Regions from separate parts of the Mus musculus genome. Here regions 1, 2, 3, 4, 5 and 7 are each reported to be linked to region 6. The links are microRNA targets in miRTarBase. Many come from high-throughput screens and were not tested one by one. Region 6 holds a microRNA gene; each other region holds the end of a gene's coding sequence.
Evidence for each region. The annotated mature microRNA mmu-miR-17-5p reads CAAAGUGCUUACAGUGCAGGUAG and lies in region 6 at 2,483-2,505, opposite strand. An mRNA with a match to its seed (bases 2 to 7 or 8) in the 3' UTR can be bound and repressed. Matches are read on the target gene's strand: a 7mer-m8 pairs with bases 2 to 8, a 7mer-A1 pairs with bases 2 to 7 and ends in A, and an 8mer does both.

Region 1 (4,058 bases), not on the chromosome of region 6:
CTGAACTTGACCCTGAAGTTCAGTTTCCTCAGCTAACATGGAAAGCCTCTGTGTGAGGAGTACACCCTGTTTGTGGGTCTGAGGTTTCTGCTTTGACATACATAATTCAAATGTTCCTCACATGAGGAACATGTCTGCCAGTGGAAGTTTAAGTTGGCCTCCCTCATCTCTTCCTTTCTGAGTTGGCTGTGATCCATTTATTGATCCGTTTCATTGTCGGCCACAGTGGTAGGAATGGCACTGGGTGGTTGCTTAGCACTCTGCAAGCATTTCCCCTTTGCTCCCCCTGGAGGAGGGGTTGTGTACAGACCAAGCAGACAACACAGTGCCCACTGTGCAGGCAGGCCATGTGGATGAGCATCTGTAGCTAATTCCGTAGACCTTTTGTGTTCACAACACAACTACAAGTGAAGTTGGGCAAATCCGCAGTATGCTGAGCAGTCAGGCCCCCTGTCGTGCCCCAGCCCTGCCCAGCTTTGCTGTTGCCTGTAGGTACAATCAGCTGCCCTTGATGAGATGTTCCAGCACCGAGAGGGCTGTGTACCGAGATATCACAAAGCCCTGCTATTGCTGGAGGGGTTGCAGCACACTCTCACGGACCAGGCAGACATTGAGAACATTGCCAAATGTGAGTGCCTTTCCGGAGCTTAAGTGGGGGTGGTAGGTGTGGCCTCCCTGTCTCATGCTCTCTCCTCCACAGGCAAGCTGTGCATTGAGAGGAGACTCTCGGCCCTGCTGAGTGGTGTCTATGCCTGACTACCTGCTGCCAACCTGCAGGGTAGGGTCTGAGACCTGGCAGACTGTCCTCAACACTGATCAGATCCGATGGTGCTGAGACTGCTGCCAGCCAACTCCAGCAGGGATGCTCCACAGTGGACCTGTGCAGACTGGTGCAACTCTTGCTTCCTAGACTGCCAGTCTCTGCTGGCAGGTAGACATCAGAGTGCCAGGGGTCCCTTGCCCACTGGGACAGGAGTTTCTGAACATATTCTTCCTAGCTGGCTCCCTGGCAAGCAGGTATGGTGCCGAGAAGTGGCACCTGCCACCTGAAGAGCCCATGGCAGCCCTGTGTCAGGCAAGGGCCTGAGACCGTTGCTGACTCCAAGCCAAAGCAAGCTTTTCCTCACAGTTCACTTGCCCCATTGCTTGTCCAAGAAAAAAGGGTATGGTCTTCTGGCCCCCTGTTCTCTCTAGGAACTTCTCCCTCTGAGACTACTTACCCAGCTTTGTAAGTCACCGGAGCACTTTATGCATACAGAGACTGGAGAACCTAGCCAGCAGTGCAGACTGCTGGGAACCTGCCTCCTGTTCCTGGCTTTCGTCCTCCAAGACGCTGTATAGATGCAGACCACATCTTTGTGTATAAAAAGCCCAGTGTTCACCTCCTCCTGTGTCTGGTCTTTGGAGGAAAGCAACAGGCTTGCCTCCTGAGGGAGAGATAGTCCTCACGTTTAAATGTTCATTAGGGACAGACAGTTCATTGTGTGAAGCACCACCCATGCTTGTTAAAACTCCTCAACTTCCACACTTTACTCCTAAGATGTGTCTCCACCCTCCCAACTCAGTTTTTGTTCATAAAAGGAAACTTCAGATGTTTAAGGATTGAAAGGGCGGAGGCAGGGCAGGCCAGGTATCACACTGGATGTTGTCCTTGTAGGAGACGGTGCCCGCTGTGTGGCTGAGGCTGTAGCATGTGCCAGAGCGAGTGTGCTGCTGGCTATCTCTATTAACTTTCCCTGGAAGGGCGGCAGAAAAGGCAGTGCCCAGGTGCCGTCCTCCCTGTGCAGTGGAGGTGTGGGTGAAGAATAACATATGCAAACATGTCCCCTGTGGAGCTTTCCTGTCAGTCTGGCTCCTGTGCTTGGTGGCCTTCAGGATCTGTGCTGAAGCTCGTCTTCCAGGCTCCAGGGTGGACACATGCTAATACCTTCCCAGCCTCCCTGACCTGCCAGTCCTTTGTCACGGCTCTGTTCATGCATACTTGAAAGTATCTGAGTGTCCACAAGCTGATGTGGGGTTTCAGAGTTATAGGCCACACACACACACACACACACACGTTTTTCTTTGCAATACTTGAAATATTGCCACTGTGCTTGGTTGTACAAGAGTTGTACAAGAAAGCAGATCTCTAAGACCAGTCTCTTCCTTAGTCACCCTATGACCTCCCTTGCATGTAACATGTTGTATTTATTGCTTTGTGGCCAACTGGAACCCAGAGCCACCAGGGAGGCTAGTGCAGGGATTCCTGACCCACCACCTGGTTCCTGAAAGGCTCCTGGGTGGCTGTGTGTGTGTGTGGCTGGCTGTGTGTGGTATGAGCCAAACCTGCTCATGAAAGCAGTGCTCAGGCCTGTCAATTTTAAGATGAATTTTGTGAGTCTCCCCCTTTTGTGTTTCACTGTGTCATATCAGTTTAAGAAAATAAAAATTGGAATTATTTATGTGGTGTCAATTTCATCCTGGGGTGCCACTGTCCCTCCAGGAGCCGGGTGTGCCTTCAGGTCTGTCTGGGCAGGTTGCCTGTGTCCCCCAGCCAGATTGAGTCCAGTAGTACTTCACGGTGCCGGTGGTGTGGTGGCTTGCTCAGCACCGGAAGCAAGCCTCAGTTTGATCCAGGGATAGCTGGGTGGGTTCATTGTATCACCCAGGAAACAACAGTTCCCACTGGGTCAGGTGAGGATCCAGAGAGGGTGGGGCAATTCTCCAGGCCCCCTAGAGTGGAGCATCATTGATAATGAACCTTCCCCATTTTGAGAGACAGGGTCTTTGATTCCTAGGCTCAGATGATCTTCTGTTCTCTGCCTCAGACTTCATAGCAGGGACTGTCGGGCACCCCATTGCACCTGGCTTCACTTGTCATTTTATTCTAAACTTTAGCAAGTATGCTCTGAGGTGCAGTTTCCCAGCACTAATCTTCTATAAACCATTGGCCACTCTGTATGCTTTATTTGTTCCAATCCTCTGTGCTCTCCAGCCCCTTAAGTCAGGCTCTCTATAGTCTAGGCAGGCTGCAAACATGCTATGTTCAACAACCAATCCTGCTTTTAGGTGTTGGAATCACAGATGTATATCACTGTGCCTGGTTTTACTTTGCCTATGCTACACACATTTGGGTTTTTTGTTTTTCTCAGAAAACTTCCTTGATCTGCCTGTGGTTCCCTTTGCTTGCTCTGGCATTGGTATCCCAAGCAAACATCTAGATGTAATGCTTTCATCTTACATCTGTATTATCTTCGCAGGATAAAAATTATTAGGTATAGTAATACCTATATATCATAGTAAACTAATCCAAGATATCACATGTTCATGGAGTCCATGTTTTATTTTTATGCCCTGTTGAGACATTGTTTCAGGTGTCAGTGGTTAAAAGGTTTTATTTATTTTATATATAGTAAATACACTGTAACTGTCTTCGGACACACCCACCGCACGAGGACTTCAGATCCCATTACAGACGCTTGTAAGCCACCGTGTGGTTGCTGAGAATTGAATTCATGCATGACCCTTGGGAGAGCAGTCAGAGCCTGCCAGATAGTTTAACTCACTAGCTGTGGTTGGCTTTGAACTCCCAATCCTGCCACACCCTGCCCAGTGCATGGAATGCAGGCATGGTGTTACCACGCCTGGAGCAGTTTTAGGTTTATAGAGAGACATGGGGAGGTCCTGTTTTTCCTTCTTGCAGCTGATAATTCTTGTTAGCATCTTTGGGTTTGGTGCTACAGTAGACCAAGAGCCTCACGTGCTATGCGAGTGTTTCACTATTGTGCTATATCTGTAGACCCTTAACTATTTTGTATGTGTGTGTGTCTGTGCACTTAGGTGCAGGCACTGGAGAAAGTCAGGAGAGGCTGTTGCATCCCTCTGTGCTGAAGTTAAGAGATTTTTATGATCTGATGTGTGCGCTGAGGTCTGAACTCTGGTCCCTGTGATGAGGCATTTCGCTGTCCCTTTCTATGAGACAGAATCTGGTGAAATTTATGCTGGCTTTGAACTTTTGATTGTTCTGCCACAGCCTCCCCATTACTAACCTGACACCCGCGCCACCACACCCAGACAAA
Region 2 (4,067 bases), not on the chromosome of region 6:
TGAATATTTAATTACTGTAGTATTTATCTCAACACAGTTTTAAACACTACACTGCAGATGACAATTTCAAGAGATGTCCCAATTTGGGGGATGCTAAATTGAAAAAAAAATGTCTTCTAGAATCAGCAAGACACACAGTAGGTATGTCTAATCAATTATCCACAACTAATTTGCCATGCAGGGATTATGGAAGATGAAAAGGAAAGGATTTGAAGGAATATTAGTGCTATCCCTTGAAAACGTTTGCATTACATAAAATGAAGTTTTTACAGTCCTAAGGACATAAGGATAGCTGTAAGCTAAGTATCAAGAGTAAACAAGGAGAATACAGTATTGAACCTCCTAATGAGCTGCTACCTTTACAAAACATAAATCACAACATTGTGAACATTTAAAATTCTTTGTTTTCAGAAGGGCTGTATTTGTCCAAATGAGTGCCGACATTAATAAGAGATTTTTTTTGGAAATGAAGAACTTAGTTATATTGTTAAGCTGTTATTTTTCAAAATTAGGCTTATTGGCTTGAAGCTTATGGGCAATTTCTAGAGAAATGTGAATGGGACAAACAGGAGACGGGAAGGAAGGAAGAGTCATTGAGTATAAGCTCGTCTACCAAGTGCCAGAAGAAATATAATTCTACTGAGAAAAACATTCATAATCTAGCAAGAATAATGATTTCAGTGTATCACAGATGTTTGTTGATATATAAAAGAATATCCTTAATGGAGGTTTAGTAAATATTAAAAGATATTTGAATTTTATTCTTTGGCGGTTTTGCATTTGATATATACACAATTTTAATTTGTCAATTTTGAAAACTTTGCCCCCAGAGATACCTAGTTTGTTTTTGTTATTTTTATAAACTAAGTTAAATTGAACATGTCTCTTAGAGAATGGATATGGCTTAATAAATAGTAGAAAATACCTAAAAAATTGTATCAAATGTTTATAAATACATGTTTACTGCAGTGTAAAAAAATGTCTCAGAAGAAATAACTTGTATATAGTTGCTTATGTAGTGGAAATATGGGACAGTTTTGAATAATTACACACCAGGGAACAAAATGCTGACAGGCCAAAAAAATTATCACTCGTTATTCATTTTGCTAACAATTTAAAATTCAATTAATTGCATTTACTATCAACAACTCAAATAACTCATGTGATCATAGCATTTGAAAATAGTCTAAAATACATAAATTATTTAATCTAAGAATACCCTGTTTCCCCTTACTGTTAATTAATTCTACCTAGTAAATATTAATTCTCTTCTCACAAACTATTAAACAGAACAATTATTCAAGTAAAATATAAGCCCTACAATCTTTTAAAAATTAGCTTTTTAAGTTAACAAAAAGAAGAGAAAGAAAGGCTACAAGACATTCCACATGTAAGTACATATTATCATCCAGCACTGAATTCTTGGCAAGGAAATTCATCTTTCCCATGGCAACAGCCTTGGTCAGTCTTAAAATTAGTGCAAACTAGTGAGGGCCTAAAAATGTACAAATCATTTTTTTTCAAGGCTTCTCTTTGATTATGCTCTTTTGCTCATTTCATGTGGAAATCATTGTTCATAAACACTGCTCACTTTTGAGTTGCTAGCATTTAATTAATGGATATCTTCCTTTGGGAGGAGGGACTGCCAAGCATCCATTAATATGTATATTTATAAAAGGACCCTATTCTGAGCAGCAAAGTAGGATTTTCACATCAGCTTTAGTGAGCACAGTTTCTTTAGGTGCAGTCACAGTATTTTGACAATGCCCATCTCAACTTGAGTAAACACTCAAGTCAAGAGCATTGTCATAGCTCTGCTAAGGGACACATCATGTTTTCTGACTAGAGAATAATTTACAGGCGTTCCAGCCCCCAGAGTATAATACCTAATAGAGGCTAGTGTTCATCGACATGCTAATATCTAATAACTTTCAAGTGCTGGAGAGCAGCAAACTGAGGAGAGACACTCTTTAGATTCCTCTGTTTTCACAGGTAAGACACTTGCTACACAAAGGACAGTTAGAATTTAGAATCCAAGTCACGAGCCTCTGGATCAAAGCATGGCCAGCTCCAAGAGGCTTGTTCTTGTAGTCACTGTGGAGGGAAGGGCTGCACCAAAGCCTTATCAGAAGGTGGCTAATGGGGAAAACTAGAAGCTGCTTATGCACAGTACCCTTTTCTACTTTGCATTGAAATATTCTCAAGAAAAATATTCAAGACTTGAATAAATCGTATTTTAAATTTTGCCATGGATGTTTTACAGATTCAAGAGGTAGAGTATTATTGTCCAATGCTGTCCTGTAATTGGAAGGCAGCTCTTCTCTGGTATTGTCACTTTCTCCGCGTCTGTGTTTTGTAAAATCGTTTTAATTTTCTGAGCCTCCATTTCCTGGCTAACAAAAAGGGGAGATTAGCTTGTTTCCAGGATATTACCCTCATGTGTCCAATTTTATACCTTTGTGAATTCTTATGAGTAGGGTTGGGATTCAAGGAATGCCCTTAGGGAACACAGGAGGGCAAGAATAATATAGCTTTCCATTTGAAAACTGTTGACATCATCTTGGAGTAAAAATCAAGAGAACACACTCAGAAAAGAGGGTACTCTGCTCGAAGCAGTTTTGTAGACACCTTTTGGATTTCGGGCTACAGGTCAGATCAATGACAGAGTGAAACAATCCATCCAGTTTGACAGGTAAGAATATATAAACTATCTTCAGACAAAGAAGCTATGGACTTAGATGACCTTAGACACCTTACAGTGACCCTTATTAACATTCAGCTTTAAAACCAGTATTCTAGTAAAGTGACATTGTCATATAGGTTCTATGGCAGTAGTAACTTAGCACTTATTTAATCCAGTCATTTGTGACATTATAAACTTATTCCAAAGGAAGAAAAACAGAATTTAAATGCAAAAAGGAGAAGATGTTGGAGTCAAAATCCATTTTGGAAAAGAGAAGAAAGCAGATTTGTACATGCACAAAGCCACGCAGCTTCAAAGGAGAAGAAAACAGACCCGTGCATGCACAAAACTGCACAGCTTCAAAAGCAACACCGCTTAGATTAAAGTTCATCTGTTCACCCAAACTGAAATGAAAGCCTAACCCTTACTCAGCTGGTTGTACACAGCTCGACAATGCCAATTGCCGGGTGTGGTTGACTGCTTTCAACTACTCCTGGATGCTTTTCATCAGCAGGTTGTACAGAAGGATCACCAGTCTGTGGTGGTGACACCCTGCAACCTGCTCCATAGCCTCGTGTTTGTCTGTGAAGCTCAGGGCTGACAGGTACCTGTAAAGTGTAATCAGTGCTTTCCCAGATGATCTACATTCTACGCTGATCTAAATAAGTTATATATTACAATAAAGTGCTACAACACTAGTCTCCAACAGTAGTAAGACACATAGTTCACTGAAAACTTCAGCAGCTGAGTGAGTCATATGGTTGTGAAGACACTTGCCAGTCTTCATGGCACACTCTTCAATATAATTTGTCTTCTCCTGTGACTTTATATTATACTTGCTAGAATAAATTGTAAAACCATCCAGCTTCCAACAGTTTTTGTTTGTTTGTTAATCTTATTTAGAAGTTGCACCTGAAGGCCTCCTGAGCATTTAGTTTGCTGATATCCATTTTTATTTCCTCAGGCTTTTCTCGTCGGTAGGTTACAGCTCTCGTGCAAACACTTTGCAGAATCAGTTTATCCTTGATGGAGAAGAAATATTAGGATTAGTAACAGAGCTGAGTGTTAGAAGTGCACAGTCACATATAATTAATATAATTGTCCTCCGAGTTCACCAACCTTTTTAGAAGCAGACATTCTATAATCTGATGAGGACTTTATTTTATTATTATTCCATTGTAGTATCACTTGTCTAATGATAAGAACTTTAAGCAACCCGATCAAGAATGTGACTATGAATATGATGAAAAATATTCGCAGATAGCTTGGGCCAGATAAACATTCTGCAAGAAAGGAGACAAGTTAATGGGTTAAAATTTTTTTTAAAGTAAACCAAAGTTTTCTGTCAAATAAATATAGTTTACATTCTTATAATAAAAGCAGG
Region 3 (4,067 bases), not on the chromosome of region 6:
TCCATCCCCGTCCCAGTGCCGGATAGCAGCAGTTTGCTGGCCACAGCTTTACCATCAATGGCTTCCGCCGCGGGGCCCCTAGACGGCAAAGCGGCCGCCCTGGCAGCCAGCCCAGCCTCGGTGGCTGTGGACTCGGGGTCGGAACTGAACAGCCGCTCGTCCACGCTGTCCTCTGGCTCAGTGTCCTTGTCACCCAAACTCTGCTCCGAGAAGGAGGCGGCTACCAGCGAACTGCAGAGTATCCAGCGGCTGGTCAGTGGCTTGGAAGCCAAGCCAGACAGGTCTTGCAGCGGGTCCCCTTAAAAACAAGAAAAACAAAATCGCCCCCTCCCCCAAGGTCTCTCCATTCCAGTTTGGTCAAATCTGCCAGTGCACTTTGTTAGATGTAAAATAAACCACGGGCCTTCCACATGGGGTGACCCCCGCCCTGTCCCTTTCAGTTTTGTCTGGGAGGGAGCACTAAAGCCTTTCCAGAGACTATGCTAGATACCACAGGCCCTGCCACCATGGGCTGTGTAACCAGGCTGCTGTTGCTTTGAAACGCGGGACTGAGGGGGCGGGAGGAGTGGTGGCAAACAGGCTTTTGTGTCTAGAGCGACTTTTGTGCAGGCTGGTATGGAAGTCGGGGCTGAAGAACAAGGTAGCCAGGCCAGCCAGGAGCGCGGGTCTTTGAGAGACTTCACCGGAATCTTTCCCCCTTCGTGTGTTTAGTGGAAACATCCCCCCTCCTAAACAAACTAACAAAACCAATATGGAGGTGGGGGGAGATGAAGTCCTGTGGAACTGTCTATGAAGACTGAAACTCACCAATTGCTGAGTACTTTCGTTGGGGCAGAGAGAAGAGGGGCCTTACCTTGCCCCATCTATATTAAAGGAATCCTGTCTTTTTTTGTTTGTTTGTTTTTAAATATTGTGATGTTTTAAGAGCCGATGCTGGCTTCTTTTTTGCATGTTACAGTTTTCTGGGTTTATTTTGCCCCCCCCCCCTTTTATGGAAAAACAACGGAAGTCCCATTATCCTCAACCTTGCTCAAGGCGGCAACCAGGAGGAAGTGGGGTAAAAGGGGCAGCTATGGGCATGAAACCAACCGAGTTGATTTTTATCTGAGCGCTTGTAGAGGGCTTCGTGTGCCTGTTGGACCATTAGTTCTTTTAACTGTATATGCAATAACAAGGTTTTAAAAGATAATAATAAAGAGGAAACACGACTATTGGACAAAGTATTTATGTAATTATTTGATATCTCTTGTAAATAGGTGGAATATGACTGCTCAGAAAGTTAAACTTTAATTTATTGAATTGTACATAGCTGGATGTAAATAGGAGCGTGTCTGTCAGGTTTTATTCTTGTTTTGCCTTTTGGGTCTTATTTCCAGGTCAGGAGATGGCTAATCCACACTAGCAAGCCTAGGCATCTTTATTCACATCTCCATGCTTTCAAGTAGAGCTGGCTGCAAAGTTTTTTTTTTTTTTTCTGATGGAGGGGGTGGGATCGGGAGTACTCCTAACTATTTTCACCAAAATTGGGGAGGTAATGGCCCTTCCGGGCTCCACTTGAAATTCCCTAAACTCTTGACACCCCCAGAGGGGTTGAGATTGTTGTGTGAGTAGGGGGGGGGGGGGAACGGCCTTGCGGAGGCCACCATAGAACCGTCCTAATTTTTCATAGACTCTGGCATCTTACTAACCCATGTGAGGTTTTCATTGTTCATCTTTATGGTGTTTTGGATTGGTGTACTGAGAGGGACTTGGTTCAAACGACCATGAAAGGCAAAACAAAACAAAAAATTAAAAAAAAAAACAAAAAACAACAACAAAAAAACAAAAAAAAAACCCAAGAAGGAGTATTTTGTGTTTAGTCTTTGATGAGTTTTCTGTAATTCTCCCCCTCTTTAAAAACATCACTGAAATTTCAATAAATTTTTATTGAAATGAGTTTTGAAGTTGTGGTAATGATTTCTTCAAGAGTTGTCTTTCAGAGCCGGATCGAGGATGATCTTCCAGTCTGCTCCCTTCCTCTCTAAATAATAATTAAGACCACCCCCACCCCTCCCAGCAACCTAAAATGAAATGTCACTCAAGTTAAAAGGCTGAAAACAAGTCCCTTGCTCCGGCGAAGGGAGCCACATTTGATTTGAAAATATTTTCCCTTTAATTTAGGGAGCAGAACGGGAGAAGAAAGGGGCCTGATTAGGTTTCCTAAAGAGGAACTTCATATACTTCAGTTTTAATGGGAGAAGATTTTTACCCTGTGTTCAAAGTCGGCTCCCCCCCCCCCCCAGGAATCCGACCGGAAATAAGAGCTAGGAGGGGTTTTCGCTTTTAATTCGTTTTTCCCTTTTCTGACATGGATCACAAAACAAAATAAATAAGGTCCGCTACACCCACGGAATCTAGCACAGGAAAAGGCCAAGCAGACTCCCTTATCCATGGACATTCAGGGCTGTGGGTAAGGCCCAGGAGTGGGCTCCACAGTGACCATGAGAGAGAGGCAAGGTGCTTTCGGAGTCCACATGGAACACCCAAGGCAAAAGGCACCGGGGAAGCTACCATCTCATTTCCCTAACCAGTCCCGAGTCAGTTAGGCAACCTATCTTTTTGAAGTTCAATTTATCTTTGAATCTTTCAAATATATACATATATCAATCAATCAATTAATCAATCAGTGAAGCCTCTGTCCTGTCCTGTCATTCTTCAGTCTCCCCACCCTCCAGGATCCTCTCGGGGGCGTGTGTGTGTGTGTGTGTGTGTGTGTGTGTGTGTGTGTTGTGTTGGAGAGGGGTTACAAGGGAAGGTACTCTAGAGTTAGCCCTTAGGACTTTCTTGCCCTGGGGGCCTTGACTCAAAGACCCAGCTGGAGCCCGCCAGGCGGCTGACTTGCCCCCAACCCCCATCCCGGAGCCCGCCAGCCGGGCCCAACGTCCCTGTCACCTCTTGAATGGAGAGTCATGAGGGGGGCCCCTCCTCTCCCCTCCTGTGTTTGGAAGAGGATCCAGCTCTAGACCTTGGAGGGGTGGGCAAGCCCCCCTTTTCTAGCCCAGGCACGTGGGGACCCGCACTGCTTCTCCCCAGCTGTCTAGGGAGGAGGAGAAAACAACGGGAGAGAGGGGACTGGAGAGTGCTTAAGGGGACATGGGGACGGGAAAGGCCGGTCCTCTTCGGGACCAAAACTCTTCTTCACAGTCCGCCCTGGGAAGGTGGTAGTTGGCTCATGGCCTCCGGCTGCGCGAGCTCCCAAATTGAGGAGAAAATAGCTCGGCTTAAACTGCGGAGAAAGCAGAAACCAAACCAAATCAAACCAAACTTGCTTGGCTTTCTCAGTCGGATTTTTCTTCCCTCTTTCCTCCTCCATCCCCCAAATTTGGGGACAGTGCCCAAACCTGTCCCCGGCCCCTCCTCAGACTCTCTTCTTTTCTTTCCTCTTTCCTTTTAATCTCCGCTGTATCTTATTTATATATAGTGCTGTTAATGTGTAACTCTTGTGGCGCTGATGGACCAGGGGTGACTCGCTCGCAATCTCTCTGAATTTCTGTACCTATTACTCACCTGGCGCCGGTCGCAATCTCGCCGCGGGCTTTATGGTGGTGGTGGCGGCGGCTGCGGAGGCCACTCGGGGCCGGCGCCTGGGTTGGTTGGTTTTTTTTTTTTTTTTTTTTTTTCCCCTTTCCTTTTTTTTTCTCCTTGGCTTCGAGTGCCACCTGTCTGTCTGACCCACGAATGCGCCCTGCCTAACTGCGGCTGGCTAGGCACCCCAGAGCCTTCTGGATTCTGGAACGTGAGGTCTTCACCTCTGCGCCCCTTTCTGGTCGCACCCCCCCCCCACGACCCCAGTCTGACATACCCTCTCCAAAGCCACCCCGCCCCGCCCCCACCTCACTACTGTCAGAAGAAGAGCCAAGTCTTCCATCTATCCCTATGTGGGCCTCAGACGAGATTTCCAAGGGATTTTTGGAAAGTCAAGGAGGGGGACTGTAGTTCCTTATTCTCTCCGTGTGGAAATATGGAGATACAGGAGGAGGTAACCAGGATGGAGGAGTAGCAGATAAAAGGAGACACCCGCACCCCTC
Region 4 (4,067 bases), not on the chromosome of region 6:
GTACACTCTGATGAAGAGAAGAGAAAGATTCTGCTTTCTTCCTCCCTCCATCGAGCCTCACTGCTTTCAATCATACTAGTCCAGACATCTTGTTTTGGTCAGTGGTTTCTTAATAATTTCAAAATCAAAACCTGACATACTAGAATGCTAATACACTTCAGTTTCATTTTTAGTTAGGGAAAGATGCTGACATAAAAAAATGACTAAACTACGGGTGGGGAGAGGGGATGAAAGCCGGAAAAAGCCAATGATGTAACTTTTGAAGTCTACACAAACCATGATTGGCTCTATGTAATTAAATATTAATATAATCCAACAGATCTAATGAAAGATACAAAGGAACACGGCTCTGTGTAAGAAAGGAGAAACCGCTAAGTTCTTTGAGGACACAGTCTATCAGAAACCTACAATCCTACAGAGTTTTTCCAAGCTTGACTCTACACCCTGAACATGTATTTTCATTGGAAATTGAAAAGGTGGTCACATATTTAATAATTTTATTAAAAAGTAAAAAAAAATTGTCATACTACAAATAGAAGAAGCGATGGCCTTGTCAGGATGAGCTGACATCACAATAAACCAAAACTTGGGGGGGGGTTTCACCATTGAATAATTATATGTAAAGGAGGCTTATCTGAGCAAATATTGCCCTGGCAATAAGAATTATTAGGCAAAATAATATTTATGTCCTGCCCTAGATTGAAATGATTCTATCTCAAGAACCACTTTAAGGACTTTCACTTTAAAATAACAAACAAACAAAACTCTTGGCACTGACTCATTTATTCAATTGGTATTTATTGCACCTACAGTATTGTCAAGGATTGTTCTCAAACTTGAGATACATCGCTGAACAAATATCCCAATGGCCTAATCTTAAATTCACAGAACTGTGGAACGGAAGGGCCCAGCTTCTCAAGTGTCCACACTAATAGGCCAAAGATTGGTGACTATGATTTACTCAAAGACTCAGAGACCCAGAGGGAGATGGACCTGTGGCAGAGCTCTCTGAGCTGCTTCTGAACTCGAAGGGACAGATGGGGGTGCTATAAGCCCAAAGGAATGAGAATAAAATAACATAAATGTGACCCCAAAAGCTGTTATTCTGGAGCTAAATTAGTCCAATCTAACAAAGCCCTTAAAGTTCACAAAGCAACGTTATTTTTAACACAGTGCTGTGAGACAAGGCTGAGTCATCTTATGCTGGGGAGATCAGAATTTTGCCATAAAGAAAAGTAATAAATCTAAATTTAGGGACATTCACAGTAGAAAGATATATTTTTCTGTAACTTTGATTAGTTTATCTTCTGATGCCTTTGGTTGCTGGCTATTAAGCAAAGGTAATTATAGATGATTTTGATTTCCATTAAAGTGATTTATTTCCCCTTCCTATATAAAGGGAAGACAGTTCAAACTTGTAGGAAGCCTTTTTCTTTCCTGTGGAATCAAGAAGAGCACAGTGAGCCAATCAACACCAACGACTGGTAATAATACACGCAGTCACAGGCGAGAAAGACTGGGCATTCTGGACTCTGTTAGAAATGCTAGAAATGTGTTATCAATATCCTGCCCTGTTGAATCATTGCTTTACAATTCAGTAGCTTTCCAAGAGTGACATGTCAGGTCCAGGATTGTCACCATCAATACCGACAGCGGAATTTCCCGTCATATCCTCATTCAGTGACTCATACTCAGTTATGCTATACAGCAAGCTTCAGCAACACCAAGAGCACACAGACTTAGTTACTGTCGTATTTGCAGCTATGACAGTGAACAAACTGGAAGGCATCAAGCCACGGCACTGAAGAAACAGGAAGTCATTCAGCAGCACGTGTCCCAACTTGAGTCCTGTTGTGAAATCGGCTAAGTAAAGGCATATACACCTCCATCGGAATTGGAGACTTCGAGTAACACGTGCATACCGGTATGGGGAGGAAAGAGAAAAAGAAGGAATGGGGAAAGGAACACTACAGGGGGAGACTAGGGAGAAGAAAAGATAAAGGGGGAAGAAATGTATGGTGACGAATCTGAGATCAATATTAATATTAATAAAGGACAGCTCAGCCTGCTTCCTGAGCACACTTTCCTAAGTTTATTGAAGATACAAAAATGATTTGTGAGACTTTTCATCTCTTGCTATTCTCACTTATTATACTAAAAATGTCTACAAAATCCTAAACCTTGGCCTCTCCAAGGCTAGTTCCCGAAAGGAAAAGGCGTGACCTGTTAGAGAGCTGCACTCTGTCTGGAAGTCTGCCCTGCAGTCAGTCCATAGTCCACAGTATTTTGGTCATATCTGCTCTGTTTTCTCATGCTACTCAACATGTCCTACAACTAATCTTCTTTATTAGAATGTCATAATTTATATTTTTCCCCATTTTTTTAATACTTTGATTTACCTAAAGGGCACGATAAGTGTGAAAGAATAGAAGAATGTTAATAAATTTCAAGGAGAATATGAAAGAAGAAGGGCTTCTCATATCCAAACCCATCCTAGAAATGGTGGTAATGAGACTGAAGAAGACTGCTGACTCATGGATTTCCCCCATTCTCTTTTTATTTTTAGGTAATACATCTAAGGGTATCAATGTACTAAAACGTTTGGTCTGTGAAATAGCATAATCATTAGCACCAAAAAGAGTCATGGAGCTTGTATATATTGTTAAACAATAATTTTTACTGTTGGTCGTGAGAAGAGTTCCCATTTTTATATCCCAAAGGTTTTGAAAGTGCTTGTGGACAAAAGAAATAACACTTTTCAAAATCTCCATGGGGTCCTCAATAAGTACTACAGAGACAGTACTTGGCCTTTCCAGTTTTGGTTTACCTGGTAGTCAAGAAATCCATGGGCACCAGATTACCACTGAAGCCTAAAGAATAGCCCCTCATGCACCCGCTGACACACAGAAGGATTCCTACAGTACACGATCCCCTGCTCTGTGTTCAGGAATGCATTTTTTACTTGCTTTTTTAAAAACAAAAGCAACATGCTCTGCAGATCATGGAGCGCTTAGTGCAATTTTCTCCTTGCTCCAACGCCAGACTGCAAAAGGGTGAAACCATTATGTGTTCTGCTAATGCTGGCCTGCAGTCAAGGCCCTTGGCCTGCATGCTTGGTAAGCTCTGGAGCCTACAGGAGTCAGAAGGTCCAAGAGCGGGAGCCATAGTCATTGCCAGATTCCCTAGCAACGTACGGCCCACCAAGGCAACTACTGATTCCCTTTGATTCTCTTTGCCTCAGCCTTTAGTTGAAATTACAACAAGTCAAATAGCTGATGCTTTTCCCCTCTCCGGGTAAGGGTGACGATACATTGTTCACCAGTGTGTTCTGTCTTGCTTCGCTGATGAGTCGGCATGCTAAGTCAAGGAAGAGTTTCTCCACATTGTCGGATTCCTTGGCTGAAGTCTCCAGGTAATACATGTCCTGAGCCTCTGAGAACTCTTCTGCTCTCTGCTGGGAGACCTCTCGCCTTTCAGCCAGGTCAATCTTGTTGCCTGTAACGAGGGTAAAACAAAGAATCATCACCTGACTGTGTTTCAGCCAGGAAGCATCGCGACTCAATTCCAGACTTGAAGTCCATCAGGAGGTTAAACAGATGAGTGAGCGAGTAAAGCCCAATAAATGTGACCGTGATCGCGGTGTTGTTGATTTTAAAACACCAGTGCCTTGCGTGCATTGAGAATATGAGCACAGGAAGCAGAAAAAAAAGTATAATCCTCAACTGTCTAAATTAAAAAAATAGACAGAAATTCCATTTTTTCTTACATTTTAAGAAAAATAATAAAGCAAGATTGTAGTTTAAAAGACAATGGGCACCCAGAAAGAGAAACGTAGAGAGCACAGGGGCGGAAACCAGCCCTCTCTGATCATATTCTGCTTTACAGATATGACCTTAGAATCTCACTTTACATAATTGAACAAGATAATTATGTACTTAATACAAAATTAAAATTTAAAAGTAACCTGTAAACTTGTTAGTTATATAGTTGCATAAGTACAAAGATTTCAATTGAATTTAAAACATTATGATTTAACCCTGCATCCTTAGGTGTGCATGCTAAGGACA
Region 5 (4,067 bases), not on the chromosome of region 6:
TGGTCCCACAGAAGGAGCATTCATCCTTGCAATATACTTTCTTCCTCAGGCCAGACCCATGGGCCACCCACCCCACCCACTACCCCCAAGACGGACCTGCACCAGGCGAGCAATGGAAGCAAGCAAGAGCTAAGGCTGGAAGGGCGCCGCCTAGTGGACAGCGGGCGCCAGAACATCGACTTCAGCAATGTGGACATCTCCGAGCTCAGCAGCGAGGTTATCAGTAACATGGATACCTTCGATGTCCATGAATTTGACCAGTACTTGCCCCTCAATGGCCACTCAGCCCTGCCCACAGAGCCCAGCCAGGCCACTGCCTCTGGCTCCTATGGAGGCGCTTCCTACTCGCACTCCGGGGCAACCGGCATAGGGGCATCCCCTGTGTGGGCCCACAAGGGAGCTCCCTCGGCTTCAGCTTCGCCCACAGAGGCAGGACCCCTTCGGCCACAGATCAAGACGGAGCAGCTGAGTCCTAGCCACTACAACGACCAGTCACATGGCTCACCTGGCCGTGCTGACTATGGCTCTTACAGTGCCCAGGCCAGCGTCACCACAGCTGCCTCTGCCACGGCTGCCAGCTCCTTCGCCAGCGCACAGTGTGATTACACTGACCTGCAGGCTTCCAACTACTACAGCCCCTACCCTGGCTACCCTCCCAGCCTCTACCAATACCCTTACTTCCATTCATCCCGTCGGCCCTATGCCTCGCCACTGCTCAATGGGCTCTCTATGCCACCCGCACACAGCCCCAGCAGCAACTGGGACCAGCCTGTGTACACCACCCTGACCCGACCCTGAGGCTGCTGCATCCAGGAAGTCTAGCCAGATCTTTGAGTTCTTCCGGAGTGTACTCGGTAGAGGTTGGAGGCAGCCAGCACGGCCTTACTCCGTCAAGTGCCTGCTGAATGTGCAGGAAGCCAGGCTTTGTCATCCTGTGTCCCTTTGCTTCTGGATATCCAAACTTCTGCCAGGGGACAGAGCTCTCTTTTCCCCCTCTTCTTTCTCTGAGGTGACTGGTGGTTTCCAAAACAGGCATTCCGTTGCTCTCCGGTTTGGATAAGTGTACACCAGCTCCCGAGTTTTGCATCTCAGTAGATAAGAAGATAGTTATGCCTAAGGACAAAGGAGAGAATGGGCTTCATGTCCTTATCAGCCTACCCAAGACCTCCCTGGGACCAATGGATGCTGTTCCCACGGTGAAAGCATGAAAGGACATCTGTGGATGCTCGAGGATACATCCAACCCGGGGACTCTCTTGGGACCAATGTGAGATTGAGGGGTTTCTCATTACCACCGTTCTTCCCAGCAAGGCTTGGCTGAGATGAACACTTTCTGTGTCTATTTTTATTTTTTGTTATTTTTTATTTTAAGGCTTAAACATGTTTGTTTTTTTGAAAGGTGTTGAAGACGTATTTATGTTCTGTTGTTATTTTATCTTTAATTAATGAAGTAATTTGTGCAGAGAGTAGAATTTAAGACAAAATTAAAGTGGGGAAGCTTGCTCTGTAAAGGGCAGGAGGGAGGTGGCTCAGAATCCCTAAGCATCTCTTTGCTTGGCCTTCGGATGTCCCTGGAGGCCTCCACCAGGCACAGGAGGAAGTGATCAACCTCTTAGGGTCTAGTTAGAACAAGAAGCCCGGCACCATCATTGGGCCAGGCATTGAAAGGCAGGAGTAGCATCTCTGCCTTCATGGTGCCAAGCGGTAGAAGACGGAATTTCCTGCAAGCTGGGCAGCTGCAGAACCACGATAATCTTGGCTCTTTGGCACCAGGCGCTACTTACCAAGCTGTGAAAGGAGAGCCTCCCCAACTAACCTGCTTAGGTTCCTAGTTAGAGAGTAACATCAGCTTCCCTGCCTGCGTCGCTGTGTCGAGTGTATAAACCGGCTACGTCACGGAAACTTGTGCCTTGAACACTTTGTATATTTGCTCACATTTGAGAAGTTTCGCTTCTTTTTAATTTTTCTACTTTTCCTACCTTTTTTTAGAGGGGAAAAAAAAATCCAGCCTTTTTTTTCTTTCTTCAGCTTATCTCCTTCCGGGGGCCGAGGTGGGAACCACAGCAAACTCATTTTTATGCAGTCTTTTTTTTTTTTTTTTTTTTTTTTTGGTGTTGAATTCAGAAAGACATTTGCTGTCCTTTACTCGCTGTGTTTCGTTCCTTTCTGACCAGGCAATGCTAACTTTTGTACAGATAAATTTGATAAAATTTAAAAAAAAAAATGTTTTCTCTACTTGGAGCATGTTTTGAGTATTACTTCTTATAATTAAGCCTGGGGGTTCTTACAGGAAGGTTCCTGGCAGAGATGGGTGCAACTCTGCTGAGAGCCTGGGTCCAGCTGCCTTAAGCAGGCCACTGGGGGGAGGGGAGCAAGCCAGCCCAGACTCCCCAAGGTGGGAACTTCCTCACCTTAGGGAGGTAGCCAACCCTGTCACAACCACTTGGTCTGAATTTAAACACCATGCCTTTAGCCTTGTCTGGCTTCCTCATTTTGAGGGTTTGCTCCAAAGCAGACAGATACAGGTCCAGACGGGCCATTCCAAGCCGTGCTTTCCTCCCAGCCGAATCGAGGCTGGTATCTGGGTGGCTGGACAGTGTCTCAAATCGATGGGCATTTTCTCTTCTGGGAGCAGGGTCCTGGCTCAGAGCCAGGCTGGGAGCAGAGAAGAACCATCCCAAGAGAGCCTGCTGCTTGGAGCAAAGTTTCTAGGGAGAAAATGGTTGTGAGGAGAGAGAGCAAGTAGGGGGAGGGGTTCTGGCCAAGTCTCCCGGGTGCATGTGGCTAGCAGGGGCTGCCAGAGCTGGCTTCATCTCAGCTATGTAGACTTCAGTCTTGGTCTGGGAGTGGGGTAGCCATGTCTCTCTAGAGCCACAGTGTGTGTGTGTGGGTGGTGTGGTGTGTGTGTGTGTGGTGTGTGTGTGGTGTGTGTGTGTGTGTGTGGTGTGTGTGTGGTGTGTGTGTGTGTGTGTGTGTGTGTGTTTGGTGTGTGTGTGTGTGTGTGTGTGTGTGTGGTGTGTGTGTGTGTGGTGTGTGTGTGTGTGTGTGTGGTGTGTGTGTGTGTGTGTGTGTGTGGTGTGTGTGTGTGTGTGTGTGTGTGTGTGTTAATTTATTACTGCCCCAGTTTAAGAAGCTTGACTCTAGAGCCTGCTAAGACCAGCATTCAGAAAGTCACTTGGGTTTATAAGAGCTCGTAAGGTCTGAGTGTGCCAAGCTTCCAGGTGTAGGGGATTCTGAGGATGGTGCTGTGAGAACCAGGTTCATGGATGGCTGATGTCTTCGAAGGCTACTGTCCATGTAGACCCAAACCCTGCCAGTCCTGCATCCAGCCAAGGGTTGTCTGAATCCATATGGCCCCCAGAGTTCTCTCATTGACACCCCAGACCAAGGAGAACCCCAGGTTCCCGGCTCACTGACAAAGCCGTGAAGCCCTGCTGCTTGGTTAGGATTAGCTTTGGGGCTTGCCAGGTTCCCAAGGGCCGGGTGGCCCTGCCAGTTCTGTTGGAACTTGGCAAGCCTCCTGAGTATTAACTCCTGGGACCCAGGGCCCTTCTGTCTTGCCAGCCAGCCCTGATACTGGGTGTTGCTTCCTGAGAACCTCTTGTATCTGAGCATCATGACGTGGGGCACCAGTGTCCTGGCCTGGCTACCCCAACTTTATTCTTGTAGATTCTCTGTACTTTGTACCTCCCTGCCTGCTTCCACCTCAACTCCTGGGGCTTTCAGAGGCGGAACCTTCCAAGGTCATCCATCTTGGGAGACTCCCGGTGCTGGTGCTGGGACTGGGACAGACAGCTTGGAGAGGAAGGAGTTCTGATGTGCTGGCCCATAAGAAGAGATTGTCTGGTGTCTCCTGAGAACTTCAGTCTAAAAGTAGTTCCCTGGCCAGCTTCGCCCTGAGTCCAAGCTTTAGAGTCCTGTTCTCTCAGAGAGCACCCATCCTGTTAGCCCATCCCAGGGGCAAGTTGGCAGAAAGTCCCTCCTCTTCATTTCTTGACCTAATACAATGTTAGCTCTGACCTCAGTGGAGGTCAGAGCTAACCTCTGTTCAACAGAAAGGGAGTAACG
Region 6 (4,067 bases):
GTGTCAGCAATTATGTAGGACTGACTCTTCAAACCATGCACAGGGAAAATCCAGCTGGTTTTCTGTGCTAGGTTTGCCTGTTAAAATGGACATCTTAGAGTTTTTAGTAAAATCAACAGTATATAGTCTCAATAATGCTTCCTTCTTAATATAGGATAAATTTAACTACTTTCATATAACATAAGACATTAGTAACCCACCCCCATTCCTGAAAGCTTATAGCAACTATATGCCCTAGTTACTACAAAATCAAAGTCTAAGAGAGACCACAGCTGTTTTGCCAACAGAGTTTTAGAGCAGACAGTCAGCAAAGCCCCCTGTGCGGAACTGAACAAGTGCGTTGCTGCGTGAAGCCCTTAGTGCAGAAAGCAGCTTAATTAAGGGAGGAGAGAGGAAAATCCTAGGAAAACTCCTCTTCACTACTAGGCCTCTAAGACACACATTCCTTACTAAAATTAAATCTCAATTTAAGTTCAAAACATTCTGAACACAATTACTACCACAAGCTCAGCATCCAAAGGTCCTAATTAAGACCTTATTAATTTTAAACTTCTAATTTAGTATATTGAAGAAAGTACCTGGCAGGCTTCCTATGTTGGAAGATAAACGTAGCATTCAATCCGTAACACTGGTGACAGACCCCTCCCTTTATAGGAGGCACATGGATCATGTGGATCGTGCTGACATTAGAGCTTTATCACGTTTTAAAGGAAGTTTTCATTAGTCATCTGAAACAAGTTTTAATCCAAAAATGTTAAGAATGGAGTCAGAAGTGACTATGTTTCTGTTTTAGTAATAATTGTACAATTCTGGTCACTCACAATCAAACCCAGGCCTGTGGAATCCTTACCTGGCAGCTCAGGGATCCATCAGTCAGCTTCTTGCATTTCTTTTAAAAAAAGCAACATATTATGGAAAACTTTAGCTCTGTAGATAGTGTCAGCTTAAACCTGATTTTAGCAGCTCTTCCTTATTAATTTTACTTTTCTTTAGGTTTCACTCCAATGATTTTTATTCATAGCCTGAAACCAACTGTGCTGCCCAAATGTAGAACTATATATTATATATACTGTTATCCTAAATACTAACTGCAGCTTCTCCAGACCCAGCACTCGAGTGTCATGTGTACCTGTCACTCTACTGACCATCAGTTTGCCATCTTTCCCTTGAGGGGGTCACATGGTAAGAACAGTCCAAGGATAGTTCTTTCTTACAGGGTGTGCACATTAACAGAGTGGCCACCACCTGTTAACTGTTAAGAACTCACGGATTAGGAATAATCTTATCAGAAAACACTCCATCTGAATTGTCACACTTTAATAAACAGAGATCCAAAGAAAGTAACATTTTTCTTAACTCATGTTAATGGGTTTTAGAGTAAAATAAACCTGAAGTCATACCAGGTTCAAAAGGCAGTTTAACTTCACCTAAGCCCCCACACACAACTTCTTACTAAATCCAGCGAGCAAACACGAAAATGAAATGATTCAGTAAAAACAAACCACAATTTAAAAACACAAATTTCAATTAAAAAAATCCCGTTTTACACACCAACGAAAGCAATAGAAATCACAGTTTACAGAATGTGTTCATACACTCCATCAGCTCGTGAACATTTTTACAGTGGAAATCGGCATCTTCAGCAATATTGTCATTTTCACATCTTCTGGTCACAATCCCCACCAAACTCAACAGGCCGGGACAAGTGCAATACCATACAGAGAAACACAGCATTGCGACAAATCCCAACCTGTGTAGAAAGGGGTTTGATTTTCCCTTACTTCTCTACAGACTTTTCACCACCACAGTCAGTTTTGCATGGATTTGCACAGCAGAATATTATACAGCTGGATGCAAACCTGCAAAACTAACCATAGACCAGTGCTCAATAACAGGACAGTTGGCTGGGCGATGGCCAGGCGAGGCTGGAGTTCTACAGCTGGCAGTACTTTAAGTGCTCGTAATGCAGTAGATGGCTACACACTACCTGCACTATAAGCACTTTAGTGCTACAGAAGCTGTCACATCACACACACCACGCAGGCTCTACATCGACACAATAAAAATACAAAATTAGTTTAAAAAAAAACAACACTTGAAGTAAATAGCAGGCCACCATCAGTTTTGCATAGATTTGCACAACTACATTCTTCTTGTAGTGCAACTATGCAAAACTAACAGAGGGCTGCAAACACAACTATGGAGAGACCCCTACATGCTTGCTTGACTTGGATTGGATGAGGACATAACTTCTTATGCCAGAAGGAGCACTTAGGGCAGTAGATGCTAGTCTACTTCACTATCTGCACTAGATGCACCTTAGAACAAAAAGCACGCAGCACCAGCAGGCCCTCCCCGCGACCGACTGACCGACGACTGGACGCAGCCAGTGCCGCCCGAGGCAGCGCCCACTGTGGCTCCCACCGAGGCAGCTGTCAGCATAATGCTACAAGTGCCCTCACTGCAGTAGATGCACACATCACTACCTGCACTGTAAGCACTTTGACATTATTCTGACTGGTCACAGCTTCAGTCCCAAGGTGAGGTTCACTTTATTCCTGCTAAATTTGAAATAAATAATTAGACAAAAAGGAAAAAGCCAAAGCTCTAAATTCTGTCACAAACATCAATTACAGCTTATACCCAAGGGGGGGAGGGGAGGAGCCAATAGCCAGAAGTTCCAAATTGGACACATGTAAGCCTTAAAAAAAAAAAAAAAACTCCTTAAAGAAATATAAGATACAATCCCATTAAAATGTTGGCTTTTACAGTAGGCTTCCCCAAAAAACACACAATAAGGGTCCTACAAAATGAGACCTGTTATCAGGAAGGCAGTCTGACTTGGTACTACCTTTAGAGGAAAGCCTCACATTGACCAGGCAGCAATCCCTTTCTTCTGTCCTCCACATTGTCAGATACTCGACAAGATTAATGATTATTGTTTAGTCATTTTCAAGTTTATTAGTCATAAAACATAAAAAAGTCTTAGTATCACCCCAAATTAGAAATACTCTATGACTCCAACTTGAAGGGTCTACAACTATTTGGTTAGTGTCCAAAAGCCACTGTAGATTTACTACGTTAAAATGTGGCTCACTCATTTATGACAAGAGTTCAAACTGTATTTATTTCATACCTTAAAAGACCAAGAATGTTGTACAAGCTCAAAGACAAAAGTGAAAACCAAAGGTCTCAAAAGAAGTTTTAGCTACAAAACTAGAATATACTCACCCACTCAGGCAAACTTCCTTCTCAGCAAGTATCCTTGGGCAATGCTTCGGGTGCTGCTAGGTCCACGTGTATGACTAGGGTTGGGGGTGGGGTGAAGACAGAGAAAGGGTAAGCACATTTGCTCAAAATTACTACCACTTTCCGAGCCCCATTCCAAGTTGCTCTTCTCTTAATCTTCCTAAGGGGCAATTCTATCCATTTGCCAAAAAAAAAAAAAAAAAAAAAAAAAAAGAGAGAGCCAGGACCACAAGGTCCTGAGGGCAACAATGTATTGGGTGGAAAACGCTGTAACAAAATAAAGTTGAAAACCCACCAAGATTCACATCCGTGCACGAATTAATGTGCCCCTGAAATACTGCAAGATGAGTAGCAGCAAGCCTGAACTCTACTGTCCAGCTCAAGCTAGAGAAAAAGGGCAACCAGGACTAGTCTTCACCACCCCTCCCCCAATCAGGACCTCGTGGCTGCACGCCGGGATAAAGAGTTGTTTCCCCAACTGCTGTGATCCTCGTGGCACGTTGCTCATTTTCTTCCCTCTGGTCACCTAAGAACCACGAGCCCTGCTGCGCTCTCCAGTTTTCTCCCCTCCGCGCCAGCTTATCAAGAGAAAACCGGACGGGAACACGGGATCCTGCCAAGTACCCGCCACGCTCATGGAGCCCGGGCCGGCAGCACATGTCGCACAAGGGGGCAGGCGGCCCTTGTGGGTTCCCCGCGCGGCCGCCAGGGGGCGGCAGGTCAGAGCCGGGCCGCGCTGCGCCGGACGCGGAGACTCCCCCCCCCCCCCAACCCCCGCCCGTTTCTGGGCGGCTGCGCGGCGAGCGGCGGCGCGGAGG
Region 7 (4,059 bases), not on the chromosome of region 6:
TCTAATAAAAATTTTTTCTTCATCTGTTTGCCTGGATATATCTCTCTGCACTGTGTATTTGTGTTCACATGTGCATCTCATGCCCCAGGAGGCCAGAACACCTAGAAATAAGTTACAGTTCTAAGCTTCTATGTGGGAGCTAGGAATCGAACCTCAGTCCTCCAGAAGAGCAGACAGTGCTCTTTAACAACTGAGCCATTTCTATAGCCTAGTAAGGGGTTATTTTACTGGAAGGGGTAATTATAAGGCCTTCTCTGACTAATAACATGGCAAGGCTAAAGGCCCTGATGTGGGAGATACTTGGCATGTCTGAGGAACAGCATGGTTAATGTGGCTAGAATCTAGTGAGTTCAAGAAATTTTAATGAGGCCCAAGAGATAATATTGAGTGGAAGATAATATTGGTAAGGAGCTTAGCTCCCACGTGGAGGTAGGATGCCATTGGATCTGAGCAGGAACAGGGACACAACCCGGCCTTCAGAACCACTCAAACTGTGTGAAGAAAACAGATCACAGGGTTCAAGGGTGCTAAACAGAAGAAAATGGCTTTCAGTGGCAACTGCACACAGAACAGGCTTAAACTAGGGTAATATGAAGAGGATGAGGGTGCTCCAGAGGAGGCAACGGAATTTCCTGGCATAGAAGAGAGGCATTGAGGACATTTTAGGCTACATCAGAATAAAGGAGCTTTTGTTAATACTAACTAGTTCATTTTTAAGCCACAAGTCAGATATTTAATAGGTTAAAATATTATTTCATTCTACATGACATGAGATAGTTTGTGATTTTCACCAAATTTTAATTTTGCAAAATTCATTCTTGAGATCAGTTTACAACACTGGCAGTTTTCAATCAGAAAAGATTTTATTACAAGAAACAATGACATCAGGTAAAAATGCAAAAATTGTGCAATTACGGCAAAATGTTTAAAAATATCTACACATTTGCCCCATAGGACTACAGTACTTACTACATACCTGAGCACTGAATATTGAATGCCATCTTAAACTCTTCCCATGGGACTCTGGTTCCTCACAGATCACATCCACTTTTCCTCATGCACCAATGAAATCAACTTGATGTTTACACATCAACTTTGTAGGATAACAAGAAACAAAGACAGACATAAATAATGATTTCTTCAATCCTACAACACAGTTATACCTAGTTCTGTTTTCTTTGTATAGAACTATATAGGAAAAGTGCTGTGTACATTCAAATGCAGAAACATAGTTAAAGTGGGATTGGCATTTGTTAGATCTTTGAATCCTGCTGTAGCCTTTGTGCCTTTTACTTATATTCAGACTATGAGAATGTACCTTGAATTTCTACACATAAACCCACACACATCACTAATCTTAAGTTTCCTAGGACCTTTTCTAAAGTCATTTTAAAAGTGGCAAAATATCCCAGCTATGTAATGTAAACAAATAATTCATACAAAATTCAATATATATTCTACTCCTGTAGCAAATTCTAAACCTTGGCTTTGATACACTATTCTGAAATGATTCCCTCAATAGACACAGTTATGACAAAAGGACCAACTGTTGTACAGACCAACAGAATAAATCTAGTATAGAATTAGCCACAGTGTATTGTTCTCTTACATATCGTACGGTACATGTACATTGCTAACTCAATGTTCTACATCATGTATTCAAGTAATGAATTTTCCTAAATACAGAGATTGTCAAAGTGGCAGGAAATCTTAGATACTCAACAAAGCTTTCAAAAATAAATTACATGGATATCTCTTGTAAAAATTCTCTTCCCTCTCATTAGCAATACAAAACTATAATTCAAAAAATTCACAGAAATAACCCTAAAACAGCATGAAAAAAACCCAAAAAAAACAAAACCATAAGACAACTAGAGAGGTTTAAAAAAATATTGGCTGACAAAGTTTACAAAGAGATTAGGAGAAGCCACGCATCCAGCTGTGGAGGACACATGAACAATCTGTGAATGCTGTCCACTTGAACTGCTTCGAGAACTCTCTCCTTGTAGGGCCTTTGTAATGCAGTCTATAAAGTTTCTGGAAAAGGAGGTATGTGATGCAAGAGGCAATATTTTCCATTTGTTTCACAGTATCTATCACCTTACACGTTGTGCAAGACTTTTTTCTATTCCAATACAAAATCTTGCCAGGTTTCTTCAAGAGAATCAAATTGAGTCTCTTAAAGAAAATGTGTTGACTGAGGACAGGCTCTGCCTTATGTGTAATATTCTTTATCAGTTATAGTAGGCATAGTAATGAGTATGTTATCAACCTAAATACCTGCCTTAGGTGAAAAGGAGTTTATGTTAATATCCCTAACTAACTGTGAGAAACTTATCAGTTCACTATGAACAGCGCCTTAGTACCTAGAGCACAGAAACCTTTGACCTGTTCACTCACTCATCCTTCCTTCTAGATCGCCTTCAGCTACAAGTGTTTCAACATAAAAATATTCATCACTGTTGAGTGCAAAAAAATAGAGAGGTTGTAACCATAATATGAACCTTATAAGCCACTTAATTATTAGACCACTCCAAGACTCTTGTTTCTAGAAAACAGAATTTTATAAGTAGGTGTTAAAACTTCACATTATTAGTTAACTTTCACGATGCCAACAATGACTGGAAAGGTAGAGGATGGAAAGAGAGTTTGGGCAACAAAACAGCCCATGTTAGTGCAAACTTGGAATTGTAAAACTGAATCCAGCTAGACCAATGGCCAACGGCCATATCCTATCACACAAATAGCAGACCTCATGGAATCACAAGGTAAAGTGCCAGGACCATGGAACTAGCATGCTAACCTGAAAGATAAACAGAGACTCGGTAACCATTTAAGTTGATCTAACTACACATGAATGAACTTATACGAGCACCAGTCACCTGCAAATCTGAGCCCTTTCTGGGATTTTAAAAAATGAGACAGTGTTAGCACTTGAAAAAGTTATGGACAGAAAACTGCCACTTTAACCTTGCAGCTTAACTTAAAAGTTACATGGAACAATCGGACTAAAAGTTCGCTCTGAAAACCGAGTTTCCCTTCCGTCTGCTGACAGCACATTTAAATCTCGTACACTTGAAAACAGTACACAAAAATATATATGTAAATAGATATAAATAGTAAGACTGAGGATCTAGGTTAGTGCTTCTCTGTGTTAGAGATCACAGCTAAATAAATGATATTGCCTCATATTGTTACCCGTAGTTAAAAGAAAGTCACGTTAACCAGTTTGGATGTCTCTACCCAGGAATATTCTGCTTTTCAAGAGTGCATAGTTGTCTTGAATTCACCTGGTTTCTCAGCAACTATTTATCACAAAACTCTAGGATGATACTTTTATGCCAGGGGTGGAAAAATGCTGATAACCGCACTTTGTTCCCTTTCCTGACTGAACTGAAAATATCATGAAGGTAAAATCAAATCCCTCTCCACACCACAGTCTTTATGAGCACCCATTTCTGAATACAAGACTCTGTTAGCTTTCTTCAATGGCGACAGCATTTCCTAAGCCAGCTTCCTCAGTATGAGATGCCAGGGGCGTGCTTTGGCCTGCTGCTTATTTAAAGAACTTTCTGAAGACACTGAGGATAGAGTTTAGCCACCGCACACTCAAAATGGCGGCCAAGGTCCCACAGCCGATCTGGGGTCTCATACACTTTCATCCACTGGTCAGCAATGTCATCGTATTGGTAAAGAGAATTTTTCCTGCTGGTTCTGAAGATATGTTCTTCAACAGTCACTTGAGTAGCTCGCACAAATAAATGGAGTTTATTCTGGAAAAGTACTAGCTTCAGGTATGGATTTATAGACTGATCACACGGAAAGTCCTTTTTACGAGTCCACTTATTTAGCTCTATATCATAGGCTTCAACAGTAAACACACGCTGATGATTTCCACAGGTTCCAGCTATGTAGTAGATTGAGTCTTTGTACACAGCTGCTAAGCCCTGGATTCGAGGCACAGTCATGGGGGTTAAAAATCCCCAGTAGTCTTTTTGAGGCTCATAGAAGAGGAAAAATTCCCCTAAAAAAGAAAAGGGAAACAAATATGTAAGTTTT

Region 1: miRTarBase lists Ulk1 as a target of mmu-miR-17-5p. Seed matches in the 3' UTR shown: 8mer at 1,242-1,249 and 7mer-A1 at 1,526-1,532.
Region 2: miRTarBase lists Itgb8 as a target of mmu-miR-17-5p. Seed matches in the 3' UTR shown: 8mer at 3,364-3,371 and 7mer-A1 at 3,295-3,301.
Region 3: miRTarBase lists Tbx3 as a target of mmu-miR-17-5p. Seed matches in the 3' UTR shown: 7mer-m8 at 372-378.
Region 4: the mRNA of Rab30 is a reported target of mmu-miR-17-5p. Seed matches in the 3' UTR shown: 7mer-m8 at 2,727-2,733.
Region 5: miRTarBase lists Sox8 as a target of mmu-miR-17-5p. The part of its 3' UTR that is shown has no 7-base or 8-base seed match.
Region 7: the mRNA of Kbtbd8 is a reported target of mmu-miR-17-5p. Seed matches in the 3' UTR shown: 8mer at 2,770-2,777, 7mer-A1 at 1,234-1,240 and 7mer-m8 at 1,199-1,205.

Annotation. Positions count from the first base shown.
Region 1 is chr5:110,782,870-110,786,927 of GRCm38, reverse strand. It overlaps Ulk1 (unc-51 like kinase 1), which reads left to right. Exons shown (of 28, transcript NM_009469.3): 27 at 493-628; 28 at 701-2,439. The coding sequence ends at 756. Among named protein-coding and RNA genes, the nearest start is that of Pus1, 4.3 kb to the right of the region's middle.
Region 2 is chr12:119,159,535-119,163,601 of GRCm38, forward strand. Itgb8 (integrin beta 8) reads right to left here. Exons shown (of 14, transcript NM_177290.3): 13 at 3,803-3,966; 14 at 3,269-3,705. The coding sequence ends at 3,583. Among named protein-coding and RNA genes, the nearest start is that of Itgb8, 77 kb to the right of the region's middle.
Region 3 is chr5:119,682,790-119,686,856 of GRCm38, forward strand. It overlaps Tbx3 (T-box 3), which reads left to right. Exons shown (of 8, transcript NM_011535.3): 8 at 1-1,935. The coding sequence ends at 303. Tbx3os2 (T-box 3, opposite strand 2) reads right to left here. Exons shown (of 3, transcript NR_040416.1): 3 at 2,299-3,265. Among named protein-coding and RNA genes, the nearest start is that of Tbx3os2, 6.4 kb to the right of the region's middle.
Region 4 is chr7:92,835,117-92,839,183 of GRCm38, reverse strand. Rab30 (RAB30, member RAS oncogene family) reads right to left here. Exons shown (of 5, transcript NM_029494.2): 5 at 2,067-3,495. The coding sequence ends at 3,245. Among named protein-coding and RNA genes, the nearest start is that of Ddias, 37 kb to the left of the region's middle.
Region 5 is chr17:25,564,064-25,568,130 of GRCm38, reverse strand. Sox8 (SRY (sex determining region Y)-box 8) reads left to right here. Exons shown (of 3, transcript NM_011447.3): 3 at 50-2,238. The coding sequence ends at 798. Among named protein-coding and RNA genes, the nearest start is that of Sox8, 4.6 kb to the left of the region's middle.
Region 6 is chr14:115,042,122-115,046,188 of GRCm38, reverse strand. It overlaps Mir17 (microRNA 17), which reads right to left and starts at 2,518; the gene lies at 2,435-2,518. Mir18 (microRNA 18) reads right to left here and starts at 2,338; the gene lies at 2,243-2,338. Mir19a (microRNA 19a) reads right to left here and starts at 2,189; the gene lies at 2,108-2,189. It overlaps Mir20a (microRNA 20a), which reads right to left and starts at 2,032; the gene lies at 1,926-2,032. It also overlaps Mir19b-1, Mir17hg and Mir92-1.
Region 7 is chr6:95,126,442-95,130,500 of GRCm38, reverse strand. Kbtbd8 (kelch repeat and BTB (POZ) domain containing 8) reads right to left here. Exons shown (of 4, transcript NM_001008785.5): 4 at 708-4,024. The coding sequence ends at 3,561. Among named protein-coding and RNA genes, the nearest start is that of Kbtbd8, 11 kb to the right of the region's middle.